4 linked regions of the Caenorhabditis elegans genome follow. The protein of the gene in region 2 interacts with the protein of the main gene of each other region in a biochemical or structural test. Each region holds a gene or a part of one and is shown on either strand. Other genes may lie near its edges. The genes, in order: flp-25, dmsr-7, flp-11 and flp-32.

Region 1 (9,054 bases), on a different chromosome or scaffold from region 2:
ATATAGAATAGAAAGTGTTGAGGTAAATTTATCGACAATACATGTTTTTTGTAGTTTTCCAATTTCGGACACTTCACTATAAGAACAATGTGATAGATATTGTTTGAGTCTTCTCCCACTTATGCTATAAAATTTGCGCGCGCTCTTTGTTCTTGACCTGACCGAATTCGGCTCTCGCCCCTCTCTCTTATTTTCTTATCATATGTTTGGCATGCAAATCAGTGTGCTTCACTGTCTCCAGCAGAGCCAGCTTCAAGCGCATTTCTATTTGTGAGAACCTAGGAAGAGGGAGAGAGAGAGATAGAAACAAGAAGAATCTCTCTCATACATACTGTCTGTCTTTTCGAGATTGTTTTGCGAAGCTTGTACAAAGGTCGTGGCAAACTGACCAACGCACTCTCCGTCACTTGTCGTCCACTTGAAAAAGTACACACTCAAATACTGGCTCGCAAAGGAGGGAGATCCCACCACACTAAATGACCCCTACCGGGCGAGCAAGGATTTGGTAAATTCTCTTGAATAGACTATGATTATGATGAAATCCGAAGGGACACTTTTGTGAAACATTGCGAAACTATTTATTCCAGAATCTTCCAGATGTGCTCCACAAAGTTCAACTTTTGCAGGAGCTCGTCACTTTGAGTCATGAGTGACTGAAATGCCATACTTCAAACAAAATCCACCTGGTTTTTCAATGTTTTGTCATACTGAAAATGAGTATTACAATCTGAAAATGTCAAATGCTGATTTCCTCAACCGTTTTATACAATTTATTATGCGAATGAGCAGAGATTAAGATATTTATAAATGTTTGTGATTTGATCTCAATGATTTGATCATCTAGGTTTTTGATTTTTTTAAATATCATTTATAAAAGTTTCCACGGCAGTGTGCGACTTATTTTTGCGAGTAAGCCTAAGACTAAGACTAAGCCCAAGCTTAAGCTAAGCCTAATCCTAAACATATTTTTAAACCGCTGAACGTCCAGATTTGGAGACTCGTCGTTCAACTTTTGTTTAAAATCTACTTCCCGGTCACATGTTGAACAGACTAATAAACAACCCATTTGAAACATTTTACAACTTCCTGTAACTTTGGACCCAATTATCTATATTTCACTTTGCCACTTTTTGCACTCTGATCCTCAACGTTTTTTTTTTCATTTGTTCGCGATCTTCTTATCAGAAACTTGATTATATGTTTGAGTTCTCCATAACAAATATTATTATATTAATAGACATTTGCCGGCCACTTTTATTTGCGTTTGATCTAAAAGTATCTCCACCAGTTTTTTCTAGCGGGAGTCTAGTCAAGGCACATAACACATGGCTTCTCTTCTTTTCTGTCTTTACCGTCTGTCCATACCCAAAAGCCGGAGAGTGATAAGCGACACGAACACAGTCATCTCTGAAGAGGTCACGAAAAGCTGCTGCAGTACCGCCGCGCTCCTGTGCTTATCAATTGCGCGGTTTCCCTCGCTTTTTGTCTTTGTTTCTCAGTTTCCTCTCTGATTTGTCTTTATCATTCGAGTTTGACAACTAGCGGAAAGTTTGCAAAGCGTCCCTAATGCTCTGAGTGGGCTTCTCCTGGAAAAAGGTTCGAAAGTTCTAAAAATGGAAGGTTCTTTTGCATGGGCGTGCAATGTGCTTTTATTACTGCATCAATTTCGGAAAAAAATTTGAAAATGTCAAAATTATTTTAAACTTATCAATTCTAAAATCAATTTCCAAATTTACAAATGTTTAGAAGGTGCTAAAACCCACAGTACAGAAGAAAACATCCTGATAATTCAATCAGACCAGCTGAAAAACGTGCACAGACGGAACGAATTCACAAACGGCTGGATCTAAATAGAAGTCTCATTTTCCAAATATTAATTTCTGCTAATTATTATTATTAATTTTTCGTGTTACACGGTATTGCCACGTAACTACGTGAAAATGCCCATTCGAGTATAAATGAGCGTTTCTCACTGTTTTAAATTTATTCCCGATTTTACTTTGCCATTTCGTTACAGCGGACAATTTCTGTTCAAGTGAGTTCTAATTTAGAGAATCGATGATTCATTCTCTTTTCAGTTCGAAGCAATGGGATACGTTGAAAGTTTTTATTTGGAGCCTGAAGCTACTCAAATGTTTGGGATGACTGAGAGTAACGATCTTCCACCGGTAGGCTAGGTAATTCAATGGATTGCCAAAAAGTCCTAATTTTTAGCTTGAAAATCTCCAAGAGCTCGCATCTGTGATTGATGTTAACATCAAAGAGCCACTTGTTTCGGATTACTGTGGTTTGGAGTCTGACGACATTCCACCAATCTACCGTGCTCAGCTTCGTGCAGCTCAGAAGGAGAAGATCATTGCAGCCGAACAAGCAGACAAATCTTTCTATGCTTACGAAAAGTCTGATGCTAATTTGGAGGGAGATAAGAAAGAAGTGGAAGCCATCGCACCGGTGGATTCAATGAACTTTGAGTACTACGTCCCGGGTTTCTCTCCGCCGCCACAGAATTTTAACGATGACGTTCAAAAAATGAGCAACTTCCAGCTTCCTAAAATGACATCGATTGAAGCTACTGAGAACGTTTTCAAAATTAATGGAGCACACGAAAAGTCTCAATACGTGTTGATGGAAAATGAGGACCCGAATAAAGTGAATAGCCCAAAAAAGACCGGACTGGAAAGCTGTATGTTTTTATAACTATGCAGAATACAAAAAGTTATCAATTACAGTGATTTCATACACTGCATCGGATGTTACTTCTACAATTGCCTCTGAATCCTCCTGCCTTACCGCTACGGTAAATTTTTTCAGTTCAAAAAATAAAGTTTTAAACTCGTTTTTTTCAGCTTGGTCCAGCTTTTGGCTGCCTTCCGATCACAAGCACGTATGATCGCCACTCCGAGAGCAAGTACAAAGGATTGAGTGCTTTCCGTCCAGTCACCAAATCAATTGAATCGCAATACGCAATGCCGGAGCTCAATTAGGTGTTTCCCAATGTGAAATGAATCTCAAAATCTGTCGATATGAAATGAAGAATTTTTGTATTTCTTTTCAGCCACTTTATCCGAGACCCACTCTCAAAAAGTTGAGAAGAAAGCGGATGTCAGAAGAACATTAGTAGTGTTTTCAAAAATCGTACTGTTTTTCATTAAAAATAGGTACTTTTTCAAGAAATGTTCAATTTTTCAAGATAAAATCGGATCTTCAAAGTTCTTTGGACATTTCTTAATGGTAACAATGGAAAATTGACTCCGAATATCTCTCCTTTTTGTTCACAGATAATTGGCAACTTGTCAATCAGGAATCTCGCAGCAATGGCATTGTAAACGGCCCGCCACCGACAACTTTAGGCACATCGTGCCCGGCCATCAATTGTGTTTTGGGTATATTGTGCTGATTGAGGCGTTCTACGCACATAGTAGTAGTAGTAGTGGTGCAAAAGCACCACGGTGGAACCGTGGAGGTCCTTGGATCATTGAGATCCGCCTGGATCGAAAATTCTGGTGGGGAGGCCCAGTGCCTCTGCCACCTTTTTCGGATCCGTCCACAGTTTAGACGGAGTGAGCGGGGGTTGGATAGAACATCTCAGCATGTGTTCCACATTCCCTGTGACATCGCCACACTTCTTGCAGGCTGGCACCGTGTCGTTGTTGACTCTCGCAAAATAGCTTGGGACCATGGTTGAGTGACCGCATCTGATTCTGGCTAGCTCCACTCTTGTTCCTAGCGGCAAGGATCGGATCTTCTACGCACATCGCGAAAAACCGTGGCTACACAGAATGAACCCAAAAATTCAAAGTCCATAAATTTTGCAGAAAATTTGTAGAATAACTTGACTTATTCGAGTACATCTTATTCATTTTTTAGCAGAACTCACGTAGCAATTTGTCAGTTCATGAAAAATATTCATAAGTTTCAACTCATAACAGCAGAAATGAGCACAAAGTTCGAGGAGAAATAGCTAAACAAATTAGGTCTTCCCCTTTACTTCTTCCCATTCATTTTTCTCTTTTTTCCTTTTTTTTTAATTTTCAAGTTTTCTACCCCCATTATTCAAGTTTAAACATCCTACAGAAAATGACGATTACTTGGTTGCATTTCTTCAATTTTCAGCTGTTTGTAGTGTCTTTTTGCTGTCAAAAGTTGTCGGAATAATGCAAAGAAAATATGAAATCATTGACATGTGTTATACAAATTCTGGAGGCGGTGAAGATTGAAGTTTCTGAAACTAAATGTGACATTTTGGAGTCAAAAATCTGCACCCAACTTGTGAAAACTTTTTCTAAAAATTGTGCTAACGCCCGCCAGACTCTCCAGAAAACGCCTATAAAACTGTAAGAAATTTAATTGAATGAAATTACAACACAAATTTAAAAGAAAATATGTAATAATTAATTTTTTGTTACTCTAACATTTTTCCTTTTCGTGAGCCCTTTTTGAAAAATAAAAGTTCAACTGTTTTGTTTTGGGATAAAACAAAAAGCAGCATGTGAAAACATATGTTTCGCGGTTTTGGATGAAAACATTTTGCAAAGAATTCGACATACTTTTCAAGTTTGAAAAATTTTCATTATGAATTCAACTTCCTCAATCTTAAATTTTTCTAATAACTAATGTCAACCAAATCAGACCAGAAAATAAATAGCTTTAGATTGTTTTTCAACGGCTACTCAAAAAATTAATTACAAAACAAATGTCTAGAATTTTTTGGTTAGTAATTTCTGAAAAGGAAACTATGTTCACACCCGATCTTGAAATGAGATATTTGAGCGACATTACCAAACTCCTAACACCTAAAATTTGGATTTTAAATTGTTTCAGTGCATTTTTAAAAATCATTTTGAGCCCAGTATTCTTTATCAGTGCAGTTTTGTAGAATTTTTATTTATAGAAGTGTTTTACGGTAGCCGAACATTCCGGAGTTTTTTTTATAATTTTTAAAGAAAAAATTCTGGAAATCTGTAAAAAAATAAGTTTTCAAATACTTGCCTAGTTTTCAAATACTTGCCCACATTACCGCCCACTCCCGTTATTCCCATCATTTTGGAATTTCTGGACCGCCCTCACAAATGATGCTGTTTAATCTACCTAATGTTAATCCTAGTGTACTTCCGTATCCGAACATACTTTGTTTGAAATCATGCAGGCAATTTGGAAGCCCTAGAAGTGTAAGCTTGCAAAATTTTATTTCAATTCCCAAAATTCCAAAACTTTATGAGCATTCGTAAATCATAGCTCATATCACATTCCTACCGTCATTTTCAGCGCAAAAAATCTTTAGAAACATTAAATATATTTTGATTTACAGTGCTTTTTTCCTTCATTTCCATATATATTTTTAGTTTTTCCTACCTTAGATCCTTCCAATTCCACGTCACCTCCGACATCTGAAAACTTCTTAGAGAGTGTATAGTCAGTGAGAGACGCTGGTTAACGAATTCAATCAAAAAAGGTAGGCGGAGTCCTGGAAGCTTGTGATATAAAATATAAGGAGCTCTAGCTGTTTGACCCAATTCACTTGACGTAGTAATCTATTGTTTTTCAGTTTTCACCACCGCCTATAATATAAATCCAATAAAATTTGAATTATCTACAGTAATCTCCTTACACGATTAGATTGATTTTCCTTTTATTCTATACTATTTTCATAGCTTATTTACTTATAGTTAGACATTTTTTCTGTGATAGTTGGTTTCATAAAGCTGTGAGCTAGGAAATTCTTCCGATCCTTATTAATCAATATAAATAACTTTCCTAATTCTTTAAAATCTTTAAATTTTCCAGTGGCCAAATGTCTCACAACTCGATGATCTATCTTCTGGTCGCATTCCTTGTGTTGCTCTGCGCCACCACCGAAGCAAAAAAGGAGTGCTCCATTGATTGTCAGGAAGATGGTTCGGCAGCCGTCGACTTGGGACTGGTGCTCCCTCCGGAGCTCTATGAGTCGACTCGTCTTTCCAATCTTCTTGCCAGACCTTCGTCACAGTTCAAAAGTGAGTGTATTTTGTTTCCATACGGGGGGAGACTTTTCTCCGTCCTTCTACTTTTTTGGTGAGAGACAATGGTTATTGAATTAGTGTTAGTATGGTAATTGCCTCTAAAAAATTGGTCAGTTCTAAGAGATAAGAACAATTTATCCAAAGAACCTTAAACTTTAGCACCCGTCTGGACATCTATTTTCTAAGTTTTTTTGAAGACTTATTAAGAAACTTATCAACAGTGAAATGAATGTCAACAATTGCACAATATTTTTTTAAAGTTGAACAAGTTTTAATAAAACCAATGGCAGGAGATAATGAGATGTTGAAGTGGTGTAGTATTTTGAAATTATTAATTTTCTCTTAAAAACTCAGCCAAAATATTGGAACTTTAAGATCCGTTGCCAGCTGTCATTTGAGAAAAATCTTTCCGTATTAGCTTGATGAATGAAACTTTTCTAAGGACTCAAAGATTGCATAGAGCTGGAAAATCTAATCACTTTGAATCGAAACTTAATTTAATAGAAATCTACGTAAAAATTGTTTTTGGTGAGCTAATGTAGTCGTTAAAACCAAAAAGGTTAAAATTCATAAAAGCCAAAAGTTGGAAAAACAAATTATCAAATAATTTCTCAAAACCCCTCAAATTTTTTGATCTAACATATTATTCCAAGCTGAATCCTATTTTCCCCCAATTTCCTTATTTTCGCGCAATGTCCAATCAAGATATGTCAATGTCCCAGGTAAATCAAATTAATATTCATTTACGAGTAATAACCCTAACAATTCTATTTTCAAGTCTATCAAACCAAAAAGTGTTTTCCAGTGAAACGAGATTATGATTTTGTTCGATTTGGAAGAGCTGCTCCAATCAAGAAGGCATCGTACGACTACATCCGTTTCGGTCGGAAATGATCTCAATTCATCCATATTCACGCGGCGCCTTCATAGACATTCCACTTTTCACCAAAAAACTAGAACAACATCTCATTTATTTTCATTATTTACTTCTTTAATTCCATCTGAATAATAATTGTCATTTATGTGATACACCACGATATATTTATGAATCATGTTGTGTGCTGATTGCTTCCAATAATAAACCGGCCTTGACACGTTAACCTTGCAATTTTTAGTTTTATTTGTTTTTGCAAAACGTTGTTGATTGTATTTCCTGGATGAACATAATTTTTTATGGCAAAAAGTGCTTGAAAGCTTTGCTTTTTGCATCAACTTCTTGCTCAAGATCGAAAACGTTGGGCAAGACTTTCCTCTTATTTTTTCAGAAATATTTCAAAAAAATCACAAAAATGATATGTTTTGGCATGAAATACCAAAAGTGTACCGCTTATGCAGAATCTTTGGAAGCTCACCGCAAGCTCAGCTCGGAAATTTTGCAGCTTAAAATTCACAATTAAAAGCTTTCAAATTACAAATATCTCGTTTAAATTTCAAACTTCCTGTGGAACCCTCAGAACCTTCTAGTTCGGCAACGCCCAGGTTTCATCAAAGTTTTGTTATACTCAAGTTACTCAAGTTTCATTTTTCATTAATTAAAAATTATTTAAAAAATTAATGACCTTTACGACATTGACTAAGAATATCTGAGTTTTGTTCCCAATGCTACTGAATTCTATTGACTACTGTAGGTGAGAGAAATGAGAAGGAGAAGCAGGTGGAATTGAACAAAGTCATGACGAAGAGATTTTCAGCTGTTCCACTTTTCAGAAAATCGATCGAAGGCGGTTTTGGATGTTTGGATGAAATAATGTTTGATATAATAGGAAAGGGAAGTACAATGTGGGATTGAACGGGAAATATAAATGATCAGTTGCAATAGAATTAAATTTTTTAGACAATGTCAAAATATTGAAACAACTTTTCATAAAATGAATCTGCAAAACTGCTTGATTGCACTGAATTTCAGTTTAAAAAAATTTCAAGTCTCTTCAGATATGCAACACTTTTTTTTACTGTGAAATATGTTTTGTTTTGAGCTTTACAACTCACTATCAAGTCGCTGCACAAAATACTAATGGAATTTTTAAACTGAAACTTGATTTTTTTTGGCAATTTTTAAGATTAATATAAAGCCTTTTTGAACTCATTGTCTCTATTTCAAAGATTGATTAATAAAAATGCCTTTTTTTTGGAGTCAAACCGACTTTTAGTAGTCTTGAATTTTTCAAACGAGATCAGAAAGTGATTCATTTGTAGTTAACATGTCTTCTTCGCAGCAAACATCATTCTTGTATGCTCTTCGGAGCACAGTTTGATGACGACATCAGTCACGATGTCCGAGAAATGATAAGGAATATATGGGAATTATAGAAGGTGTTACTAGACAAGAAAAAGATAAGATCATCTAACCAAACAGCGGTTACAATAAAAGGTTATTTATTGAATGGGTGTCTGTTCAGCTGCCACGTCAGCAGTATTGATTGAGTTGGTACTGGTCATCTGTCATTTATCTAATATTTCAATTTTTTAAGTTTGTCGTACTGAATTTTCGAGTGTTCAGGGAGCCTCATTATTTAACTGTAACTTTAATTTTTTATTGTGATTTGTTTAAGAAACTGTGCTTGAAATATAATTCAAGAAAATAATTGTGTCTGGTATTTTCATTTATGAGGAATATATCGGAACTTTGAGCACTGGCAATGTTCATAAAACATTTTATTGAAATTTATTTTCTTTTTCATTCTCGGCGACGACTGAGACCATTTATCATTTTCAAAAGAACAGGAAAAGGCTTTGTCTATCTTAAAATCTAGTTTATCAGCACGTGACTCTCAACTCACAGCCTCTTCTCTGAAAATAGAAAAGTACAACTTCTCCTCTCGCTGAAAAGTGGCTAAAATAAGTGACAGAACTAAAAATTTCATCTTTGGTACCAAAACATTTAATCGTCTTATGTCCTGAGTTTTTAACACCTATATAAAAAATTATCGTTCTCAATACTCTGCATTTCTTTCGTTTTTTCTTCTTCTTTTTCTGAAATATTATTGCAGATGATTCGTCAAATTATCTTGATAGTTTCACTTATTGGGATATCAAATGCCGCGTACCAATGCAA
Region 2 (8,281 bases):
AAATTCTTGGAAATGACTTTCAGATGTTTGATGTGAGACTTTTACTCTTTTACTCCTTCAAAACAAAAATGCAGTTACTATTTTTCACAAAAGTTCGAACTTAACCCCTTTTCATTTGTCGAAGCACGATCATTGACCAACGCCATTGTCTCGTTCACTTTTTCAAGAAAAATAGGATGACTCAATTCAGTTCCCTCCTTTGTTGGCGGGAAATCACACATTTTGCTCACTTTCTTCCCCTTTCTCCTGCTCCATTCAATTTCCTGTCTTCCTGCCAATTAGTATTTCCTGTCACATAGTCATCGTCTGCAACTGACAACTGGACATTCTTCCGTCATTTCATTTTTGTATTGTTATTTTGTTCAATCTGCAATTCCTTTTTTCTCGTTTTCGCTTCAAGACTTCAAACCACAGAAGCTCATTTTCTCCATTTTCTTCTTCTCTCATTTGTCTGAAACTAAGATCGCCTGATAATCACAATAAATTTCCAACATCACAAGAATTGAATTAATCGCACGCTGAAGATGCCCCCATCGTGTTGCACCATAAAACAAAACAGAGAGGTTTGGTAGAATTGGTGAAACAGAGAGAATTGGAAGGAGGGAAGGAGTGGGGGCCAAGCACATTGGGACCAAGATAGAGAAGAGATAAAGATGAGAGAGAGAGAGAAAAGAGACGGGGGAGCCAGTTGGCTGTGCCAGTATGATGAAAATTAATTCGAAGATCCCGCAATGTTGTTGCGAATCGAATTGAATTTTTGTCGAATTTTCGAGACCCTCTGATAACGGATAGTACTTGGTTTTTTTTTCTGAATTTCTTTGCATTTTGTTTTCATTCATATTCAGAATTCCATTTCAAAAAGCAGGATATCTAGACTCCTAGGTATCAAACAATTAAATTGCCAAAAATTATGAATACCCCTAAATGCATTTTGCAGCAGAATTTTTACTTTTAACGCTAAAAAACCTGGAAAGTTTAGGTATTTTCGTGGCTGACGGAATACAAAGAAAAACAAAATATGCCAAGGTTAAACTTTTAAGTTTAATTTTCAAAATATAGTTAAGTTTGAACACTCCTGAAATTCCAGCAATCGTCAGTTTCGGCGATTTCGGAATATGAAGAATTCTAGTGACACATTTGAACAAATGTTTTTGAACACTAGAGAAATTATTGGCAGGGCTTGTCCAATTTGCTTACCTGCCTGCCCAATATAAGTTTCTTGGCATTTCACTGTAAAAGCGGTGTTTCATTGGGTTCAGGGTAGGCATAGGTCGCCTTGAAGGCAGGCATTTTACCTTTTTAATGTAAAATTTTTCGGAGAAACTTTCTCTTGATCTTTATAGCATGAGTGTGCTTTTGAAATTTTTTGAAATTTTTGCAATTTCAATTTCTTTCAATTTCCCGAAAAATCCAAGCTAAATCTAAAAGTTTGAAAAACAAGCAATCTGTGAAAAACACATCTGGAACTTTATTCAATAATCTTTCTTTTTCTTCACCCCAATTGTTTTTTGTTTCGTTCTAGGCCTGTTTGTATCTTTGTATGATAGCAAAAGTCAGAGCCACTGTAACTAAATAATGTGCTCAAACTGAAAAAAAACGGAGGCATTCCAAGCAGCCGCCTGAATCATTCTATCCGGGAGTCTGCACAGCCATCTGAAAGATTAGTCTAGAATTGAGCATTAGGAAACTTGTGGAGGAGCCAGAAGGAACCAAGAAAGGCTCCTCTTCATTGCCCAAAGTTTTGTTGTGATTTGTGCATCCCAATTCTCTCCTCTCACTATTCCTACCCCTCCTTCTAGTCCTTCTTTTTTTTTCCTCCTTTTTGCTCGTCACTTTGAAAATAATGCAGTCTCGTCACTGCTTTTCAAGCACTAGAAGCTGCTTGAACTGCAAATTGAATTTGAGGAGAAGCTTCGCCATTTTGTTTCGAGTAAAAAAGACAATGAACACGTTACGTGCGCAATCCACCATTGGTAGCGCCTCTCCTTCCTCCAGTTTTTGCCCCTTTTCAGCTTTTTTCCTGCATTTTTCTCATTTCTCCCCCAATTAGGCTCTCTGCATTTTAAGGTGTTAGAGAATTAGCTAGGTCACTCTTTTGATTTCTTGAAACAAAGATGAAATGTTCAGTGGTCAATAGTCAATAGGCACATCACTTCAATTCCCAAGGGACTTGAGCTTTCTTTCTTCCCCTTTTGACTGCGCCTGCGCCCCTAAACTTTTTTTTTCCACGTTTTCCTTATTCATAAGTCGTGAGAATATTCGATTTTCCGATTCATCTTCTCTGGAAGATGAATTCATTAACTTTGAATGCCACATTTCTGTCTCGAAATCCATTCTGTTTCAAATGTTTCGGTGTGTGTGAAGCAGCACCACACAACAAACATTTTCACAAGATGGCCCCCTGATTTTATATGTTTTATGGTGGCATGAAATACCAAAGTTTAAAACTTTTATACTTAACTAATAAGTTTCTGTTCTAGGTAGGACTAACATGGTAGGCAGGCGCATAAAATTTGAAAGCAATAAATTTGAATTTCGATTAATTTGATGAAAAGCAGGTGGACCTAACTTTGAAGTCCGGCAGGTAGGCAGTCGTTTGGCGCCTACCTAGAAGCCCTAGATCTAGGTTACATGTTCACAAGAAACAGAAAGTTGAGCGAAAGATTAAACATTCACGAACGAGTGTGCTTCACAATTATAATCATCGCAATTATAAAACTGCTGAAAAATATGCTTACTATGTTTTAAAAGACTAGTCTTGCCAAGATAAGTTGGCAGGCATGCCTACATGCCTACCAATTATTTTGTGCATTTTCAAGATCTGCTGAAATCGAAAAAAATTATTTTAAAATGTTTTAAACCCAAATAATAAATATTTTGATAAATATGGCTCTCTTTTACGGTTTCGAGTGTCATTTTTTTTTAAACATGCAAAATTTACAAAAGAATTTACGCGTTTTTTGCAATTTTTCGCTCACTTTGTTTTCGAAAACAAACAAATCTACCGCCCTGGCCGGCAAAAAAATAGGTTTTTTGGTTTTTTTTACTCTAGGAAATAGTTTTTAAAAAATAAAAATCTTCAATCAAAGATTTTTACAATTTTTCAAAGTATTTTCCTGCTATAGAAATAACAACTCACGGAACAAAAATAACTTCCGGCCAGTGACCTATAATTTTGTAAATTTTTTGAAAAACGAAATTATATATTTTGTTCGAAAACTCGATCAGCTTCTTCCACAACAACCGACTGTCATCTAAAAGTTCAAAAAACACAGAACGCATTCCACCCTGTTGCTCTTGGCTTCTTCTGATTTTCTCCTTATGTTTCTTTGTTTCAATGGTCTTTAAAAACCCCTTAAATTTTCAACATTTTGAAGGATGTGCTAGATATGGAATGTCCGCACGATGCTCAGTTGTTTGATCCGAACAGTAACAGTACGCAGGCATTTCTTCGGAAACTTGCACATTTTCAAAGGTTTGTTAAACTATTTTTTGTGCACTTCTTTCAAAAAAAGAAAAATGAACCAATGATTAATTGTCAGATGGTACCAGCCAATTCACGGATATGTATGTGTGCTCATCTGCGTTTTTGGTATCTTCACCAATTTTGTGCATGTGGCAGTTTTATCGAGACCCAACATGCGCAATTCGGCCGTCAACTGCATACTGACAGCAGTGGCTGTCTGTGATATCGGAACAATGGCATCCTATCTCATTTATATTATACATTTTGTCTTACGACGAAATAATTCCTGGTAATTCTTGTGTGTTTATTGGGTGGAAATGTTTTTGTTTTGGGAAATGGAGCGGCGTGGCGGCTTTTGAGTAGGAACATCAACAAATATGGAATTTTTGGAAAAATAACACAAGCTTTAAAATATTTATTTTCTGGTTTTTCCTATTCCAATTTTATGGTGAATTGCAAAACCCGGAAAATGTCGGTCACTTCATAAAAAGGATGTAGAGTTCGAAGGCGCTGATTGGTTTAAAAATAGTCATGGCTTCTCATTTTGGAAAAATTCAAATATGAAAATTCGCAATTTCAAAAATTGGACATTTTTAAATCTTTCTCGATTTTTTAAGTTTCCTTTTTTTTTGATTATGCAGCATATATTTGAATATTTCGAATACTTTGAAACAAAATCCTTATTTTCCAAACTCTACCTCAAACCATTAATAACAAGAATTCAAACTAAGTGTGCTCTTTCTATTGAAAATTTTGAAGGATATTTATATTCTTCTATTTTTCCACTCAAGTATCAACACACACACACAAAAAAACATCCTCAAAGTAATAATGGAATTTCAAAAGTTGAATGCCCATGTTCGTCACTTGCTGCACTTAATTGAAGAGGCATAGAATTTTAGTTGAACCTGGAACTATTTATTTCCTCCTATCCGTTTTATGTGCATCAAAACATGAAAACAACTGCATATTTTATTGATCATAGGAAATTTTGAAAATCGTCACAAAGCTACAAACTACGTGTATTCATAAATAACAAAAGTGAATTCAAGATGAAAAGTCGCTCGTAAAATGATACTGAAAAACACGAAAACAAGCGTTTGCAATGAAACTCAATAATTTTTATTATTAGATTTTATTACAGCACTCCAACGTTCACTCATTCTTGGTTACAATTCCTATTGTGGCATGTTGTTTTGAGCATCACACTACACACAACTTCTTTATGGCTCGCTGTGGCGATGGCGTTCATTCGGAGGATGACATTAAGGGTTACCGCTTTGAATAGGTATGCTGGGAGCAAAGTTTAAGGGACTAACATTTTTTTATACACTAAGATGAACAAGTTTTGTAATGAAAGTTTTCAAAATTTTTTTCAAACAATGGTAGGTATCCAAAAATATTTAAAATTGAAATTTTACAAAGACATTGCAAGCAATATACCCAGAAACGTTGGCCCCCTTAAAAAATCTGGAAATTTTCAGTCAATGGCAACGACCAAAGTTCGCATGGAAGTTGTGCCTGGGAATCTATATGGTCGTATTTGTACTTTGTATTCCAAATATGCTGGTCCACGAAATCGCCCGTGTAGAAGGAAATGACTGGCGACCTGGCAAAACGTGTCAAAAATTTGCATCGAACTACTCTGAACCGGTGTACACTTTTATGGTCAGCCACGCGGCGACTATCAACAATTGCCGGTTGTTTAAATGGAATATTTGGATGATTGGAATTCTGTTCAAGGTTAGCGAGTACGCGAGTTATCAAATTAAACGTCCTACCAGTTTTCAGATCATTCCATGTATTCTGCTAATTTTCTTGTCTTTCGGCCTTGTATCAAAGATTAGAGACGCAGAAAAGCATCGGAGGAAACTAACGAGTGTTCCGTCAAATGCATCAACAGATTCAAAACCATTGAAAAAGTATAGTCAACTCTCAAAGAACTTTTATGACAAAATGGAAATTTTCAGAAAGAATGGAACATCAGATAGAACCACATTGATGCTTGTTGTTATTTTATTGGTATTTTTAATAACGGAGTTTCCACAAGGAATCATCTCGATTCTTTGCGCAATTTTTACTACAGACGTTCATAGGTAAGATTTGATGTTTAACTAGAAATTTGGCCTGGAAAAACTGAAATCGAACTGCCCCAAGCTTGACCCAATTTTTCTTGAGTCATTTGAATTTTTGGAAATTTGGGTGCAGGCTGAGTCTTGCAAAAGTGTTGCTAAATTTTTGTTGGCCCAATTAAAGCTAAAATTGGGCGCTAAAGAAGTTTTCGAAAAATTAAATTTTCCATTTCAGATACCTCTATTTCTACATTGGTGATGTTCTTGATCTCCTATCGCTTGTCAATTCCTCTGTAAATTTTGTTTTATATTGTGTGATGTCTTCAAGATACCGGCAGACGTTTTGGGAAGTTATCATTCCTTCGTGGGCTTGTGGGTAAGTTCATTCTTATTGAACCAGTTCCTGTTACAGTAGTCTAAAATAAAATTTTTCCTCTCAGATTGTGGACGACCCGTCGTGGTTCTCCGACGGAACTTTCACAGCTTCAGTTGAACAACAGCTTACGACTAGGAAGGTCAGTTAATTTGTTTTTGAAGTCTGGAAAATATTATCTTTAATTTGCAGAAAACAAAGCTATACGCCACTGGCAACTGAACCGGAACCAGCACGCAATGAGTATTGGCGGTATGAAGCTTCCGTGTCGGACAATCAGAACAGCAGTAGAGAACATCAACTTTAAATTCCAATTTTTTCGATCTCGGTACAAATTCCCTTTGCAGATTTTTTGTGATATCTTGCTCATTTTCATAGCTTTCGCATTTTCTATTCTATTCTTGTTACGGGTACTTTTTGTTTTTTATTAATTCAGTTTTTATATAAATCAATATGGTTTACAAAATTATTAAATTATTCACGGCGCCGTGAAAAAAAAATTGTTTACAAAAAGACACGTAGATGTGAGTAAAACTAGGAAAAAAAATTATTTTCAATTGAAAGTGATTTCCGAAAGGTGAGTTCTCTTTTTCTCTTCCAGGAATCAAAAGTTAAAAAGGTTTGATGTTTTAGATTATGAAAGACGACGTCGTTGACAACATAATAATTGATGTCCTGAGCGCTAGTACTCACGAAAAGCTACTTTCCGAAGTGATCACGGAAGGACGAGTTCTAAAGCTTCTCGATTTGGCACTGGATGTATTTAAAAGACAGAAATCAATGGTTGAAATGAATGCTCCGATAAAGGTGTGCGGTGACATCCATGGACAATTCCCGGATCTTCTTCGTCTCTTCCATCGTGGTGGATGGCCGCCGACTGCGAATTATTTATTCCTTGGTGACTATGTGGACCGTGGAAGATTTAGCATTGAAACCATTGTTCTTCTTCTCGCTTATAAGGTTTGTTGCTTTAAGTTTTGCAAAAAGAAGCTAGGATCAAAAATTGTGACGCGCCAGAATTAATCATTGACACAAAGAATGCCAAAACAGGGGATTTTTGCAGAGACCGCTTAGATTTTCCAAAATAAGCGTACACATGTGATAAATAAATGTGTTTTCAAAAAGAAACATATTTATTGTCCATCACATATTGCTCTGCAAAAAAGTGCGCATCTCTCAAGTATCAAAGTGACAGAAAGTTGATGCTGCTCCGATGAGCTGTCAAATTTGAAAAATGACGTCAACTGGAGTGATGGATCTTTTGGACGTTTATTTCTCTCTCCCGATCTTCCAAATCCCATGGCGTGAACTTCTTTGAAACATTTTTCAAGTCATGATTCCAGGTGAAATTCCCGGGCAATTTATTCTTGTTGCGTGGAAACCATGAGTGCGAGTTTGTCAACAAGGTATATGGATTCTATGAAGAGTGTCAGAAACGCTATCAAAGTGTTCGCATGTTCACGGCTTTCCAGGTAAATTTGATTTTTTACCAAAATTGAACAATAAGGTGCAATATTAATACAGGAAAAACGGTACTTTCAGGACGTATTCAATTGGCTTCCACTCTGCGGACTCATTGCTAATAAGATCTTGTGCATGCACGGAGGACTATCGCCTAGTATGTCAAAGGATTTCACTTTGGACAACCTGAGAAAAATTAATAGGCCATGACGGCAAGGAGAGACTGGTAGCTGATCTTTTGTGGGCCGATCCTATTAGTGGTCTTTCTGGGTTTATGGTAACTTTCTGATAAGAAAAGATCGATTTCATCAACTTTATTCAGGAAAACAACCGAGGTGCCGGGTGTGGATTCGGAAGAGATGCTGTTCTGAAAGTGTGCTCCGATTTTAAGCTTGACCTGATCTGTCGTGCCCATCAAGTTGTTCAAGACGGTTATGAGTTCTTTGCTGGTCGGAAATTGGTGGTATGAGTAAAAAAAAAGTGCCGAGAGAAAGGAACATTAAAAATTTTTAGACAATCTTCTCGGCTCCTCATTACTGTGGTCAATTCGACAACTGTGCTGCCTTCATGTCTTGCGACGAGAAGCTTCAGGTAAAAATTTTTAATTGAAATGTTGTAATAAATGTGCATTCTTACAGTGCTCGTTCGAAATTCTCCGTCCAACGAGTGGCCGCCTTGAAGTTCGCGAGAAACCATTGCTCAAGGATGAAACAAACTGATGGATGGCTGATTCATAATTTCCTTCAATAAATGAATAGACAAATAAATGTGGTTTTGATATTATTTGTAAAATAATAATTTAATGTTTAAAAGTAATATTTGAAATTTGGCCAACAACCTGCCCAGCCAGCTTGACAAACAACGACACCTTTCCGGTAGAAATTTTCACCAACTTCCCGTCTTTTTTGA
Region 3 (6,012 bases), on a different chromosome or scaffold from region 2:
CATACTTGCACAAATGGACTCTTTCGTCCGCCCTCGCTTCGGACGATCCGTGGGATATGCCGAGTGGCGGAATCATGGTCACACAGGAATTGACGTGACATAGCTTAAAGAATGACACAAAGAAAGATATCAATATTTGACTGAAGAGCGTCAAAGTTCAACAAATGTTTGTGAATATAAGTATAGAAAAGCAGTCCTCCCTTATCCCCCAATGACTTATTCCTCTTCTTTCGTTTCACAGCTTTATCAATCACTTTACAACTATCTTCTCCATTCCTTTCTCCCCCACCCACGCTTTCGGCTCTTTGACTTTACTATTTATAGTGACCTCATGGTCACAACAATTCTCTCATTTTTTTTCTCGAAAACTTTCACTTCAAAACTGTGCATTGTGTGTTCATTTGAATTTTCACCCCCATTTATTTATTCATCTTTTTACTTTTCTACATTTTCTTATTTCGATACTTTTCTTTGATCCCATTTTATCCTCATGCAGATGAAGTCTTTCACTTTGTTCTTTACTCATTGAGGGAAATAAAACAAATGTTTTCGGGATCTCCACGTCATTTCAAAAGACCTATCGGCCGATAAAACACACCAGATGATGTGAGTGGGCCTGGGTCGAGCTGCACATTTTGGAGAAACCCAAAAACCGTGTTTCATAAGTTTGAATACAATGACTTTGTTTTTTTGAAGGATTTTTGTGCAGCGTTGTTTTAAAAAACGGTTTTCATAAGATTTTTATCACAGTTGAACTCCTATATTTCTTCCCTCACTAATTCTTGATGTGTGGACAAAACTGTAAGTCTGATCAAGGCAACAACACAACATAGACCACTTTTCTAGTCCAGTAAAAAATCGAACTCTGATATTCAGACTGGTATCACTTCTTAGAGTCAGAAGATGGTACAGCTTGGGAAAAACTTGGAAAAACTATCCCAGACTGCCAAAACTGAAGCTTAAAGTGAGCACAAAATTGCTCCAAACTTTTTTTGCAGCTCACATTCGGTCCAAGTGTTGTTCAATTTATGATGATTATCAGTCTGTTTTGCCAAATTCGGATCCAACTTTTTTTTTTTTTTTAGGAGAATTTATTTTAAAGCTCGCCATTGAAATACATGTAAAAATCTAAGCTTTTAAATTTAACAGAAAATGAGATTATCTTTTTTGGAATGAAACCTAGAATTTTCAAAATAACTAGCATCTCAAAATAACTAGCATCCAAGATGCTCTTTGTTTTCATAAATTTTAGTTGTTTCCAGTCCCGAAAAAAAATTTCAATCATTTCCTTAGGTTCAATAAGTGTTTTGTCTGGTCTCTTGTTGCAATTTTTGAAAAAGGAATAACATTGTGCTCAGACTGAAAAATGAAAAAAGATGATGTAAGTTGGTCTAGGCTTTAATTCCAGTTTCCGTTCCACTAGTGATCTTATCATTTATTCATATCAAGTTTCATTTGATGTTCGATTCATTGTAGGTTTCATTGTTCCCTCTGACTATTCATCAAGTTCTATGAAACCATTGTGGCTTACTAGTTCCCCAAAGTTGGAAAGATCTGGAGAAAGAAAAACAAGTATCCCAAAAGCCCAAACCTTTTTTTTCCAAATGTTGAGCCTCTAAAGTTGATGAATGGGGTGAGAGAGGTTTTCATGGTTTTATGGCCCATCAGTTCCAGTAGAGTTCCTCATATCTTTTCGCACTTCATTTTTCAATCTGTTAAGAGTAATTCCCCCACAACTTTTAGCATCCTCAATCCTGGTTCCACCCACAAACACCCACACTCCATTGAATATAAGATTATAAAATATAAGTTAAAATACGAAAAGATGCAAAACTGTGACGACGAAACTTAACAACCTGCTGACGTGTCAAATATTTCCGCATCTTACCTTCGTGGGCATCTTCTAACTCATAAATTTATGATGTTCGAATCCCGGCGCCAAGTGATGTAAACTCATTTAATATTTGAGGAAAAAGCATAGACGAATCCATTTTGCATCTAATTTATTTTTCTAGTTTCACACCCATGTTTCGCTTGGCATAATCAGTGTTTGAGCGCACTTTTTGCAAGGTGCGTCTTCTTGTAAAGAAAGATTTTCAAAAAAGTGCAAAAGTGGGGGAGATTGAAAAACGATAAGAAGGTTTCATGTCAAACAAGGACACACGAATATATAAATACGGGTCATTTTTCAAACTTTCCATTGTGACTTTTTGGAATATTTTTTTCGTAAAAATGAAATCGATTTTCTGACCAATATCTCAACTTTAAAACTTCTAATTCTGCTTTTTTTCAATCTTCTGTAAACAGGAGTGCGTCGAAATTTCGGCAGTTTCGGCATATTGCCAAAAGTTTATAGTCCAACAATTGCCGGAACTGGTGATTTAGCTAAACAATAAACCTCAAAATATTAGGTATTTCAGTAAGAAAATGACCTATTGATTATGACTTTGAATCAAGTTTTGATATATTTTTAATTTTTGAAATATGATGAAAATTAAAAATTATCAAAAATTCTGGCAATTTTGGCACATCGGCACACAATGCGAAATTTGCGGCAACTGCCGATTTTTAAAAAACTTTATTTGTTTGGTATAACAGTTAGGCACGCATTTTGGAAATAAACCGATCTTTTATTGGGAGAAGTGCCAGTTAAAGTGCTGGACCAAGTAAAATGTTTCCAAAAAACCAGACACGTATTAATAAAACACTTCAAACTTTTTCAAATTTTACAACAATTTTCAATTAAAGTTTTGGCAAATTGGTAAATTTTCAAGAAATTTTTTTGCAAGTTTTAATTTTTAAATATACATTATAATTATTAGAATGTTTTCTGTATAGAAAATCTCTGCATCTGTTGGAAATGAATAAAAACTTCATAACAATTCTAAATTAAAAATTCAAGAACACTAGAACAAGCGTCCTCAAAATATTCACAAAATATTGTACACATTTTGTAGTACTTTTTCCATTATTAAAAAAAGCAAAACTAGCTTTTCCTTCCTTTCCGAAATTTAATGCTATTTTCAAGATGACTTTTTTGCTTGCGTTTTTCTCAGTTTCCTCACACACACACACACACAAGTAGGCGTGGCCTGTGGAACGTTTCAGAGCGCAGAACACCTGCATTTGATCTATTCACTTCTTGCTTTTGAAAAGCCCAAAGACACCCTACACTTCGGTTTCGTTTTGGAAACCATTGACATCATCCTATTTTCCATAAGAAGTTTCCTTGAGAAGAATCCATTTCGCAAATTTTTCATTAAAACGTTCAAAACTCATCAAACCATTTGTAAATAGTAATAAAGTATGTCCTGCGGCTATTTGCTTTCTCTTCGGAATCTACAACGCCCCCTCCTAATACATCGTTTCAGGTATAAAAAGACTGCGCCTAGCCGCTCGTCTCACTTTTTGCAGTTCATACTGAATAATGACTCAATTCTCTGCATTGGCACTTCTCCTTATTGTCTTCGTTGCCGCTTCTTTTGCTCAATCTTATGATGACGTCAGGTATAGTTTTTTCTTAAAACAATTTTTATCAATTACCCATATAAATCTATTGTAGTGCGGAGAAACGTGCCATGCGGAACGCCTTGGTTCGATTTGGAAGAGCTAGTGGTGGAATGAGAAATGCTCTCGTTAGATTCGGAAAGAGGTCTCCATTGGACGAGGAAGACTTTGCTCCAGAGAGCCCACTCCAGGGAAAACGGAACGGTGCCCCACAACCATTTGGTAAGTTGTCTTAAAATTTTTCTTCCGCTTTTTGCCTTTGCTTCATGTGTCGTTTATTTTGCTTTGCAGTTCGCTTTGGCCGATCCGGTCAACTCGACCACATGCACGACCTTTTGTCGACTCTTCAGAAGCTCAAGTTCGCCAACAACAAGTAATGACCGAGGACGACCGTCTTCTGCTCGAACAACTCCTGAGGCGAATTCATCATTAAAAATCATATGTTTTTCTCTCTCACACTCTCTTTTTTCATACTCTCTCTTGCTGTCTAGAATTTGATTGGTGTCGCTTAACCCCCCTTTCCCTCCGAAGGAAAGTTATCTCCCCAGATCTCTTTTGGTGTTTTTTATCAGCTAACAACACACATTTTCTGATATTTCTATGCTCTGTCTATGAACAATAAAGGCGTTGTTAATTACTCGCAAAATCACTTTGTTTATTTTTTTCACATTTTCAGATAGTGAACAAAAGAAAATTAAATTCTAAAATCTGAATCGGAAAATTCAAATTAAAAATTAAATTTATTTTTTTTATATTACACCTGTTTTTTTTCAAATATTAGATCAAAAACTATTCAACAAGTGGCATGTAAAGCATAGGATTAATCATTGCATATTTAGGATCGAATTCTGGAATTTTCGTGTAAACATCTCGAGAAACAAAGCCAAAATGATCGTAGAGACGTCGATTGAAAAGCGAGATCCTGCAATGAAAAAGTCAAGTTGTTACAGCTAGTTAGATCCTTACTTTCCACCAACAAGTCCAAAAAGAAAGTTGAGGTATCCTCTTCGAATTGCTCTAGGTTCAACAACAGCGTTCCATAAAACGTAACCCGTCGTGATTGCGTAAAGAATTACTTCTCCATTTTTGAATTTTGGCAAATAACCTCGATCAACTAGATCGAAATATACCGTCTGAAAAAATGTCATGAAGGGAGTTGGCGCTGATCACCTCGCTGTCGTCAGGATATCACCATGGAAGCCCGCCTTTCACATTTGGGATTCCACCCCGGTCGAGCAGCTCATCAAAATTCACATCTTCTTTGTTTCAGAGCTTTATTTTTAGAAGCTTACGCTGTTTGCAGCTAGGAAATTTAAACGAGGAGCAAAATATCATACCTCAATTGCTTTCCAGAGACAATACATAGCAATACTGACAGTGGGATAGAAGGCCATTGCAACTGATGCCAAACCAGCAGAAAATACATTATTGAGCACCGGAGGAACGTATTTAACCCGATTTAAAGAGCATCGAGTAGCCTAGAATTGTTTGAGAGTAAGTAAATTTATACTGAAAAAACTATTTACTAGATTCTAAAATTTAATAAATAAAGTTTAGTTGAAATTAAAGTCGCTAGTTTCTTAACCAGTCGCGAAAAGTTGCAAATTTTGCAAAAAAAAATGCGGCACCCGGGATTGACAGGAAACATTTTTATAAATGCAAAATTGTCCGACTTCAAAAATATTGCACCTCTAAATTCTGATAACTGCGGTATACTGACTTAATATACCGAAAAATAAAAAAAAATCGTACACTTCGCAAAGCAATTTAAACATAATTCAGCCACTTATGTTATCAAAAAAACTAGACAATTGTAACTTTTCCAGTTTTTCTAATAGTTGCACACTAGTCTGTTCCTGAAAAACGACTTCACAACAATTTGTATTGTAAGTTTAAAAATACCCTGTGAAAAATTATTCGAGACTACAATTTTTTACTTTTTTCTACTATCCAATAAACTTACATTGAAAATAAATGGTAAAAAGCCTGCAAAGAGTGGAAGTTTCAGATTTTCTTTAGATACCAGTAGTGTGATGAGATTCAATGGATTTTTGATAATTGTTCGTACATTTCTAATTACAGTAAGCACCGAGCTTGCTGTTAATCCAAATGTCATATTTTTAGCAAAACTCTGTAAAAGTTGCGGTATGTTTTTTTTTAACTGTGATGTTACTTCTACTGAGTGGCTAACGCAAGAATGTGGATGATTGCATAGTTCAGTTTTCTTATAATCACTTCTCAATTTTTCCAAAAACAATCTAAAATTGTCTGGAATTTTCTTCTCGTTTATCAAATTTTCCGATACATTTGACTTCAAAGCGACACTGAAAACAGAGAAGTTGACCGATTTGGATAATTCTGATTTATCTCCACCGGCATATCTTTTAGTAAGAGATGAATTATGCCGTAAGGAATTCTCAAGTGTCCTGCTCCGATTTCAATATTCGGAAGAGCAAACTAAAGCGAGAATTCAAGATGGGGGAGGACTAGTGTATAGGCTAAAGA
Region 4 (6,771 bases), on a different chromosome or scaffold from region 2:
TATTTTATTTAAACTTAAATTTGAAATATCTTACCTTATCCGTATTGTCTATAACTTGTTCCACATGACTAAACTGTTTTGCACTTGTGAGAAGGGTCTGGAAAATAAATAAAAATGATCGCAGTTGTTAAACACTAAAATGTTTTGAAAATCACTTACCTCCGACGCTTGAGAGCTGCTCATCGGAATCGAAAGCAAAGCTGAACCATCTGTGATGATTTCTAGAATTTTTTGAGGCAGTTTTGTTTTACTCTCCAGAGAAATGCTCATTTTGAGTTTGAATTTGTAGAGGCCTGCAGGAATCGATAATGTGCGAAGGGGGACATAGTGGTGAGGGGAGGGTGAGAGAGTGTGGAGGAGTAGAGAAAAAGAGAAGTGTAACGATGGTGCATCTTTAGACCAAAATCATAAAAGGCAAGTAACGATATTAAAATATATGATCCCGTTTGTCTACTATTGCATTTTGTATCTTGGTTCTCTCTGATTTTATCGAAAAATTGTTAATTAACAAAATATGTGCAAAATATTTTCTTTTACATTTTGATGTTGGAACATTTTTTGGAAAATTTTAGACGACCGAGATATAACCTGCTAAAGTAGAAAAATGGAGGTACAAGTTGTATAGGAAAATTACGGTTATGGAAATATAACTAGAAATTTTTATTCTCATTTAAAATTCAAAGAGCTTACATATAAACAAAGTAACATGAAAAAGCAAAGAACATGGCAAAACAATCATGAGAATGAGGTTTTAATGCTTGCAAGGAGAACCCGTAAATATACATTCTACCCTATATATTTTCCCATAGTTACATTCTCACAAATAGCGGGTTTCCCAACAAGATACCGAATTTTTCTAATTAGTAGTAGTGCATGCAATAGTATATTTCAATTGATATTTTTGACCCTAATAACAGATTTTTTTGTCGGTTTTCTAATTTAAAAATCGTAATAATAAAACATATTCCCCCCCCCCCCCCCCAATATATAAGAACTATCGTTCCAAAATGAACTACTCCCATAAGCTGTTCTCATGGTGGTTTTTTTTAATCAAGAAGATTAACGCAAAAATATAGTCTTCTTCCAAATGATTGTCAAAACATTTAAGGCTCGATCAAACGTCTTATACCAATAAATATTCATATAAAATTATTCCTAAATGAATAAACCCCTATGATTTTGGTAAAACCGCAAATTGAAAATTCTCATTACTTTTTGAACCTACCCAGAACTTGGAAAAATCACTGAGATGATTCATGTTTTTGTTTGCTTTTATCAAATATGTATAGAAATCCTCTAACCTTGGTTATGTGCTCTTGAGAGAATCTAGGATTTTTTTGCCTGCAAGCTTCTGGTTTTTGGAACACAAATGATATTCTTTTTTGCGAAAAGTTCACTGTTTGTCAGGCGTTCTTCACTTACTTAATTTATTTTTTCAAATAATTTCATAATTTAATAAATGTTGGAATGGAATGCGAGTATTTCTCAATTTTGTTGTGCTTTTTTGTTCCTGATCATAAAATTCTACGGAAATAAAATTGGAACGGTTGTTGTTTTCTTCCAATTTTTGAGCGCTTGAAAGAACACAAACTATAAGTCCGAGGCGCATCACAGAGTTCAAGTTTTTAAAAAGATTTTGCATTTCAGTTTTAGACCAATTTTGCTGGTTTCCAAAATTGAATAATTAGACTTATCCAATCTGTAGTAAAATTGCATTTACGGAAAATATTACAATGCAAGGCCGTAAGTATATTTTAAAAATTGAGTACGCCTGTGGGACTTTTTCAAACATTTAGTAATTATTTATTTTTTTGACTTGCTCACAGTAACTCATGGAGGCCAAAACCGGTTGAAAAAATTTATCCATCGTAAGGATGTTCGACAAATTTCAGCAGTTTAGATCAGCAAACAAGAATGTTTGAATGAAAGTTTGTTGGACGTGCCAAGCAATGCTTAGACCTAGGTAACTTTCGTGACCATTTTTGAAGATCACCTATTTTATTTTATTCACTATAATTTCCTTTTCACATACTACTTCGAAATTCAAAGCATTATTTTTCGTGTGGACTCTGAACCGATCGAGAACATTACAGAAGCTTATAACACTTAAGTGCTCTTAAAATAATGTTGTTTACCTTGCAGAAAATTCATCGAATACCTCCCAACAAGTATACACCTGAAATGTGCTCCACAATTGTCTTGTTGCACACAAAGTTCCCCCGTTTCCAACTATCGGCAATTCGTTGTTCCTACCTCGTCATTTTGTCTTTAAATTATCGGAACAATGGAACAAAAGAATAAGTGAGAAGTGAAAAAGAGAAAGATTCGTCTTTTTTTTGCGCTGACACTGTTGAAAATGTATGAGTGGGGTGTGAGTTGGCGGCGTCGACGAACATTGCCAAGACAAAGAAACGTTGGTCTGTGTGGTTCTTTGGTAAAACATTAACTTTTTGGTTAGTAGATAGGGTTAGGTACTCAACCACACACCAAGAATGAGGAGTTTCTCCTTTGTTCACGTTCAGATTTTTGATCGGCTTCGGCTTCTTCGTCCCGCGCCGCAATTAGTAATATTCTGTTCTCGACAGCTTATCCCATCTAAAACCCGGAAAAAGTCGGGCTCATCCTCCGAGCCGGAGACTCCGACATCACTTTTTGGAAAGAAATTACGTGTTCAAATTCAGGTTTTCGAAATGTAATGCGATTGCTGCTTCATTTGTTATTCGATTATATCGTTCCGTTCTCTGGCTCAATTATGGAAGTGTCATTTTGGTAAGTAACCCTCCCAGTACTAAACACACACTGTCATCCCTACGAAAGCACGACAAAAACAGTGCGGATGACACATGTGCCAGTGGCAGCTAAAGTGGGAGGGGTCTTCGGGTTGGGCAATGGGAATCTGAAAGCAGCTCGCCGAGTGAGTGCCACGCCCCACGAAGCCTTCATTCTTACGACATGCTCTCCTTTGTGCAAACCCTTATCCTCGCTCTCCTCTGCTCCATCGTCTTCGTGGAAGCCATGCCAAGGTGAGTGGAAGTGATAGGCATTAAGCAAGGAAACTTTTTTTTCGAAATAAATTATTATAAATAGGATTGCTAGCGTGGGCACGATGTCGTTTTAATTATGATTCTTTTTGCATCAAGCAAAATCCGCGTCATGGCTATTTAGCATAACCGAACACCTATGTACCACTATATTTCCCAAGCTTTCTTAGCTACAGCAAAGTTTGAAAAATTTCAAAATTTTGAATTTTCCAGTAGTCACTTAACTACCCAGGGAGTTCAATGCCGATTTGCAAAAGACAAAAGCGTTGAGAAGTTTGAATGATTACTGACATTACAACTCACAACTTTTAGCTTTTGTGTTTCTTTGAATACTTGTTTGATATAATGTTTTGTTAAGAAATCTTGAAAGAAAAAAAAAATTAAAAATCTATGTGAAGATAAAACCGGCAATAAATCAAGGTCTCTGGCATCTATAGTTTATGAGCAACGTGCGTACTTGAGGAGAGCAAAACTAGAATCAAATCAACCTGATTGACTCGAAAAAGGAATATATTTATAGCCTATAAACAAGAACGTGTAGATTTAATAGTAGTAGTCATTTATAAAATGGTCTCTGGAGAACTTAAAGAAAAAATAAATACGTCCCCAGTGGGGGGGTACAAAGAGTTTCTTTTTCAGCATGAGACCGGCGAAAAAGGCGATGCGCAACTCGTTGGTGCGGTTTGGGAAACGAGCCGATCCAGTTGGCACCGACGATGTTTTTCTAGGTAAGTTTTGAGCATTTATCAACACTACTGCTCGCCGATCAAGTCAGCGACGTCAAAAAATTTAAAATTCAATTTCACTTATTGAGTAAACATTTTATTTCAGGAGAGTCATACGGATCTGCTGACCCGTATGAATATGTTCCGGAGCGCATGTCAAACCGGGGGCCATCATCAGTCCTGCTCTACTGAAAGCCAATGCTTTAGGGAGGGAATATTTTCGTCTAGTGATCAACTCCAAAAAGCTAACCACACCAACCGTCGTCCTCAATCGTCTTCTCTCATTTTCAAGCATTTGTGTGTGTGTTTTTTTTTTCAATTTCTTCATTCAAGATATTGTTAATAAAAGTATTCATGTGAAGTTGTATCTAATTAATGTTTGTCAAAACTTTTATAGTTCTAATTAATAAAAAAAGTCAAAATTTTCCAAGCGGCCGACAATTTCCGAGTTTAACCACTCATTAGAAAATTCTATGATTAGGTATAGTGAGTAACCAAACTCGGAAATTGTCGGCCGCCGTTAAAAACCTACCCCTCGGAAAATTTTCAAAGTTCTAAAATCCGGACGAGCGGACGCCCAATATTCCAGCCCTATTTTTGAACAAAAGCCTGGTCGGACTCGAACTAAAGATACACCACTACCACCTGAACCCTCATTTTTGGAAACAATTGTTCGTCAATGTTTTCGGATTTATTTCAAGTTGATTTTATCTATCTTCTTCAAGTTTCAGAAAATACTCTGAATTTGCTAGTTTCCAGTTATTTAGTCTAGTTAACGTTGTCATTTCAATTTTTATTTTGTTTTGTCGTTTACTCTGATTTCTTTGGAATAGTTTTTCCTGTTTTTTTTTTCTATTAACCTACACACATTTTTTTGTGATATTCCCTATTGTGCTCCTTTCTGCCAATTTTTAGTTATTTGGTTGTAAAATGTAAAATCATACATCAATTTAATATGAAAATGACGTCACTATGTTCATAGTTAGTTCCGACTTATGGCACTACGTAAAAGACAAAACATCGAATTTGAATGCTCAAGTTTGTAAGTAATTTGATTGGAAACATTTATTTACTAATCAGTGGAAAAGTTAACAGACATCCCAGACTCCAAATATTGTCCACTCTCAAAATTAGTTTGTCGAATGTAGATTCCAAATGTCATCTGAAACTTTTTCTGTTTATCCAAAATTCGCAATCTCTACAGAGTTCTGTTGTTCGACTAGATGATCTTCTTTATACTATGGTACTAGGCTCTTGTGACTTTGACCCTATCATAATTTGATCTACGCGTTGTCTCAAACCTTCTGCTTATTTCTATAATCCCGTAATGCAAGCAGCAAACTGGGATCCTTCTCGCCTGTCATCGGATCCACACATATCATTTCACATCGAGTGCATTTGTCGACAACCTAAACCGGAACAAACATAATTAGCCTGTGAGAATATATATTTTCCATGAAAAAAACTCAACCTCAAACTCAAGATTCTCAATAGACAGCCGTTTTGCGGTGTCCTCAATAAAAGGCGGAAGACCTCGCACCACTATGTTGGACCGGAATCGGGTCAGAATTTCCCGCACTTCCATGTCTGAAATGATGAATCATTCATATCAAGTGATTGTAGAGGAAGTGAAGAATAATATATGGAAATTTGTCATTGAAAGTTTGCAAATGTTATGAAGGTCACCAGTTATGAACTCAAATGTTTAACGGAAACGGGAAATTAGAATGTTTTAAAGGTGGAGTGAAGTCAAAAATTTTTTTTGCTGTAAATGACAGAAAATAGACCTTAATGACCGAATATTACTGTTAAAAAATCAAAAAAAAAGTTTCTAAATTTTTAATGATTTTTTAAATTTTTCAAAAATCGAAGAAACGGCCTAATTAATTTTGAATTCCCGCGCAAATGAGTAACGTCATTTTTGATATTTTTGCGTTTCTTGGCTAAATTCTTCTGTTTTTTTTCTGCTTTGTTCTTTTGTATTTGATTTAAAACTATGTTTGTCAGTTTTTCAAACACGAAAAAAATTATAAATAACCATTAAATGGTCGATTTTTAGGCCAACTTTGAAATTTCTTTCACGCCATTTTCTTTCAGAGTTGAATTTACGGAAAAGTGCATGAAAAAATGACAAACAAAGTTGTAAATCGAATATGGAAAAAAATTAAGAAAAACTGGTAAATTCAGCCAGAAAATGCAAAAATATCGAAAATGACGTCACTCATTTGCATGGGAATTCAAATTTAATTCGGCAGTTTTTTTTTTCAATTTTTGAAAAATTGAAAAAATCATAAAACATAAAATTAAAAAAAAAAATTCACTGTTTAATTCGGTCAACAGGGTCTATTTTCCGTCATTTAAAGCAAAAAAAATTGACTCTACTCTACCATTAATTCATATTATAAGTAGTATGCGTAGAAACATAGAATACATTAAAACTTTCAAGTAAAATACTACTGAACAACACCCTAAAACATTCAAACATGAATTTGAATTTGAAAAAATGCTGGACAACAACTCACTGATATATCTTGATAACATGTAGACACTGGCTTCGTTGATTAATAAAAATGGAGAATCGTTTACAAAGTTCTTTTTCGAATCTTCGGCTACTCTTAGCAATCGACAATTTTGTCGATCTAGTGCATTATCCAGCCATTTGCCAACTTTATCACCACAGTCCATTGTAGCAATTCTGAGTTTTCAAACTATACTCATCAACTTTCTGATTTCCAAAACCTACGTATTCTTGCAAACCAATTTAGCTCCATTGTCCTTCAAAGACAAACTCATTGGTAAAACCAAATTTTCATTCTGATCAAATGTTTGAATCAGTAGTTGGTCATCGTCTACAATTGTTGCAGTAAGCATACATAGCTCGGGATGAGTTTTGAGATTTAATGTGACATCATCATTAACTATCAGAAATTCTCTGTCATTTTTAAAGCCTCTAGCGGTAAGCTCATACCTAAAAATTTGAATAAATTATTCTGACCTCTTGATTT

What was found.
Region 1: the proteins of dmsr-7 (region 2) and flp-25 interact in a test that uses a peptide from one of them, tested with the Caenorhabditis elegans proteins (one large-scale study listed by BioGRID).
Region 3: the proteins of dmsr-7 (region 2) and flp-11 interact in a test that uses a peptide from one of them, tested with the Caenorhabditis elegans proteins (one large-scale study listed by BioGRID).
Region 4: the proteins of dmsr-7 (region 2) and flp-32 interact in a test that uses a peptide from one of them, tested with the Caenorhabditis elegans proteins (one large-scale study listed by BioGRID).

What each region holds. Positions count from the first base shown.
Region 1 is NC_003281.10:9,358,284-9,367,337, forward strand, and holds flp-25 (FMRF-Like Peptide), read left to right. Parts: upstream 1-3,244; 5' UTR 3,245-3,383; intron 3,384-5,784; 5' UTR 5,785-5,791; coding exon 5,792-5,993; intron 5,994-6,804; coding exon 6,805-6,893; 3' UTR 6,894-7,097; downstream 7,098-9,054. Other genes in the region: K04H4.5 (uncharacterized protein), read left to right, coding at 2,088-2,168, 2,215-2,683, 2,730-2,797, 2,847-2,984; crn-6 (Cell death-related nuclease 6), read left to right, coding at 8,990-9,054.
Region 2 is NC_003283.11:5,401,981-5,410,261, forward strand, and holds dmsr-7 (G-protein coupled receptors family 1 profile domain-containing protein), read left to right. Parts: upstream 1-3,372; 5' UTR 3,373-3,389; coding exon 3,390-3,475; intron 3,476-3,542; coding exon 3,543-3,755; intron 3,756-4,610; coding exon 4,611-4,754; intron 4,755-4,950; coding exon 4,951-5,209; intron 5,210-5,257; coding exon 5,258-5,388; intron 5,389-5,436; coding exon 5,437-5,562; intron 5,563-5,773; coding exon 5,774-5,914; intron 5,915-5,978; coding exon 5,979-6,053; intron 6,054-6,103; coding exon 6,104-6,218; 3' UTR 6,219-6,406; downstream 6,407-8,281. Other genes in the region: C25A6.1 (Serine/threonine-protein phosphatase), read left to right, coding at 6,548-6,871, 7,255-7,383, 7,454-7,529, 7,576-7,649, 7,695-7,835, 7,886-7,963, 8,011-8,091.
Region 3 is NC_003284.9:4,675,482-4,681,493, reverse strand, and holds flp-11 (SPLDEEDFAPESPLQ-amide), read left to right. Parts: upstream 1-3,371; 5' UTR 3,372-3,427; coding exon 3,428-3,507; intron 3,508-3,562; coding exon 3,563-3,729; coding exon of another isoform or gene 3,730-3,743; exon of another isoform or gene 3,744-3,798; coding exon 3,799-3,884; coding exon of another isoform or gene 3,885-3,940; 3' UTR 3,941-4,160; downstream 4,161-6,012. Other genes in the region: K02G10.15 (Neuropeptide-Like Protein), read left to right, coding at 1-103; tmem-135 (Transmembrane protein 135 homolog), read right to left, coding at 4,297-4,429, 4,474-4,640, 4,845-4,985, 5,471-5,638, 5,681-5,831. UniProt on the Caenorhabditis elegans protein: FMRFamides and FMRFamide-like peptides are neuropeptides. Induces sleep-like quiescence behavior following release from RIS interneuron. Helps to sustain locomotion stop after gamma-aminobutyric acid (GABA) induces fast slowing response.
Region 4 is NC_003284.9:15,430,846-15,437,616, forward strand, and holds flp-32 (FMRF-Like Peptide), read left to right. Parts: upstream 1-2,941; 5' UTR 2,942-2,952; coding exon 2,953-3,023; intron 3,024-3,179; exon of another isoform or gene 3,180-3,376; intron 3,377-3,680; coding exon 3,681-3,769; intron 3,770-3,872; coding exon 3,873-3,958; 3' UTR 3,959-4,127; downstream 4,128-6,771. Other genes in the region: blos-8 (BLOC-1-related complex subunit 7), read right to left, coding at 35-97, 160-270; mocs-1 (Molybdenum cofactor sulfurase), read right to left, coding at 4,839-4,928, 5,068-5,175, 5,238-5,353, 6,289-6,461, 6,510-6,734.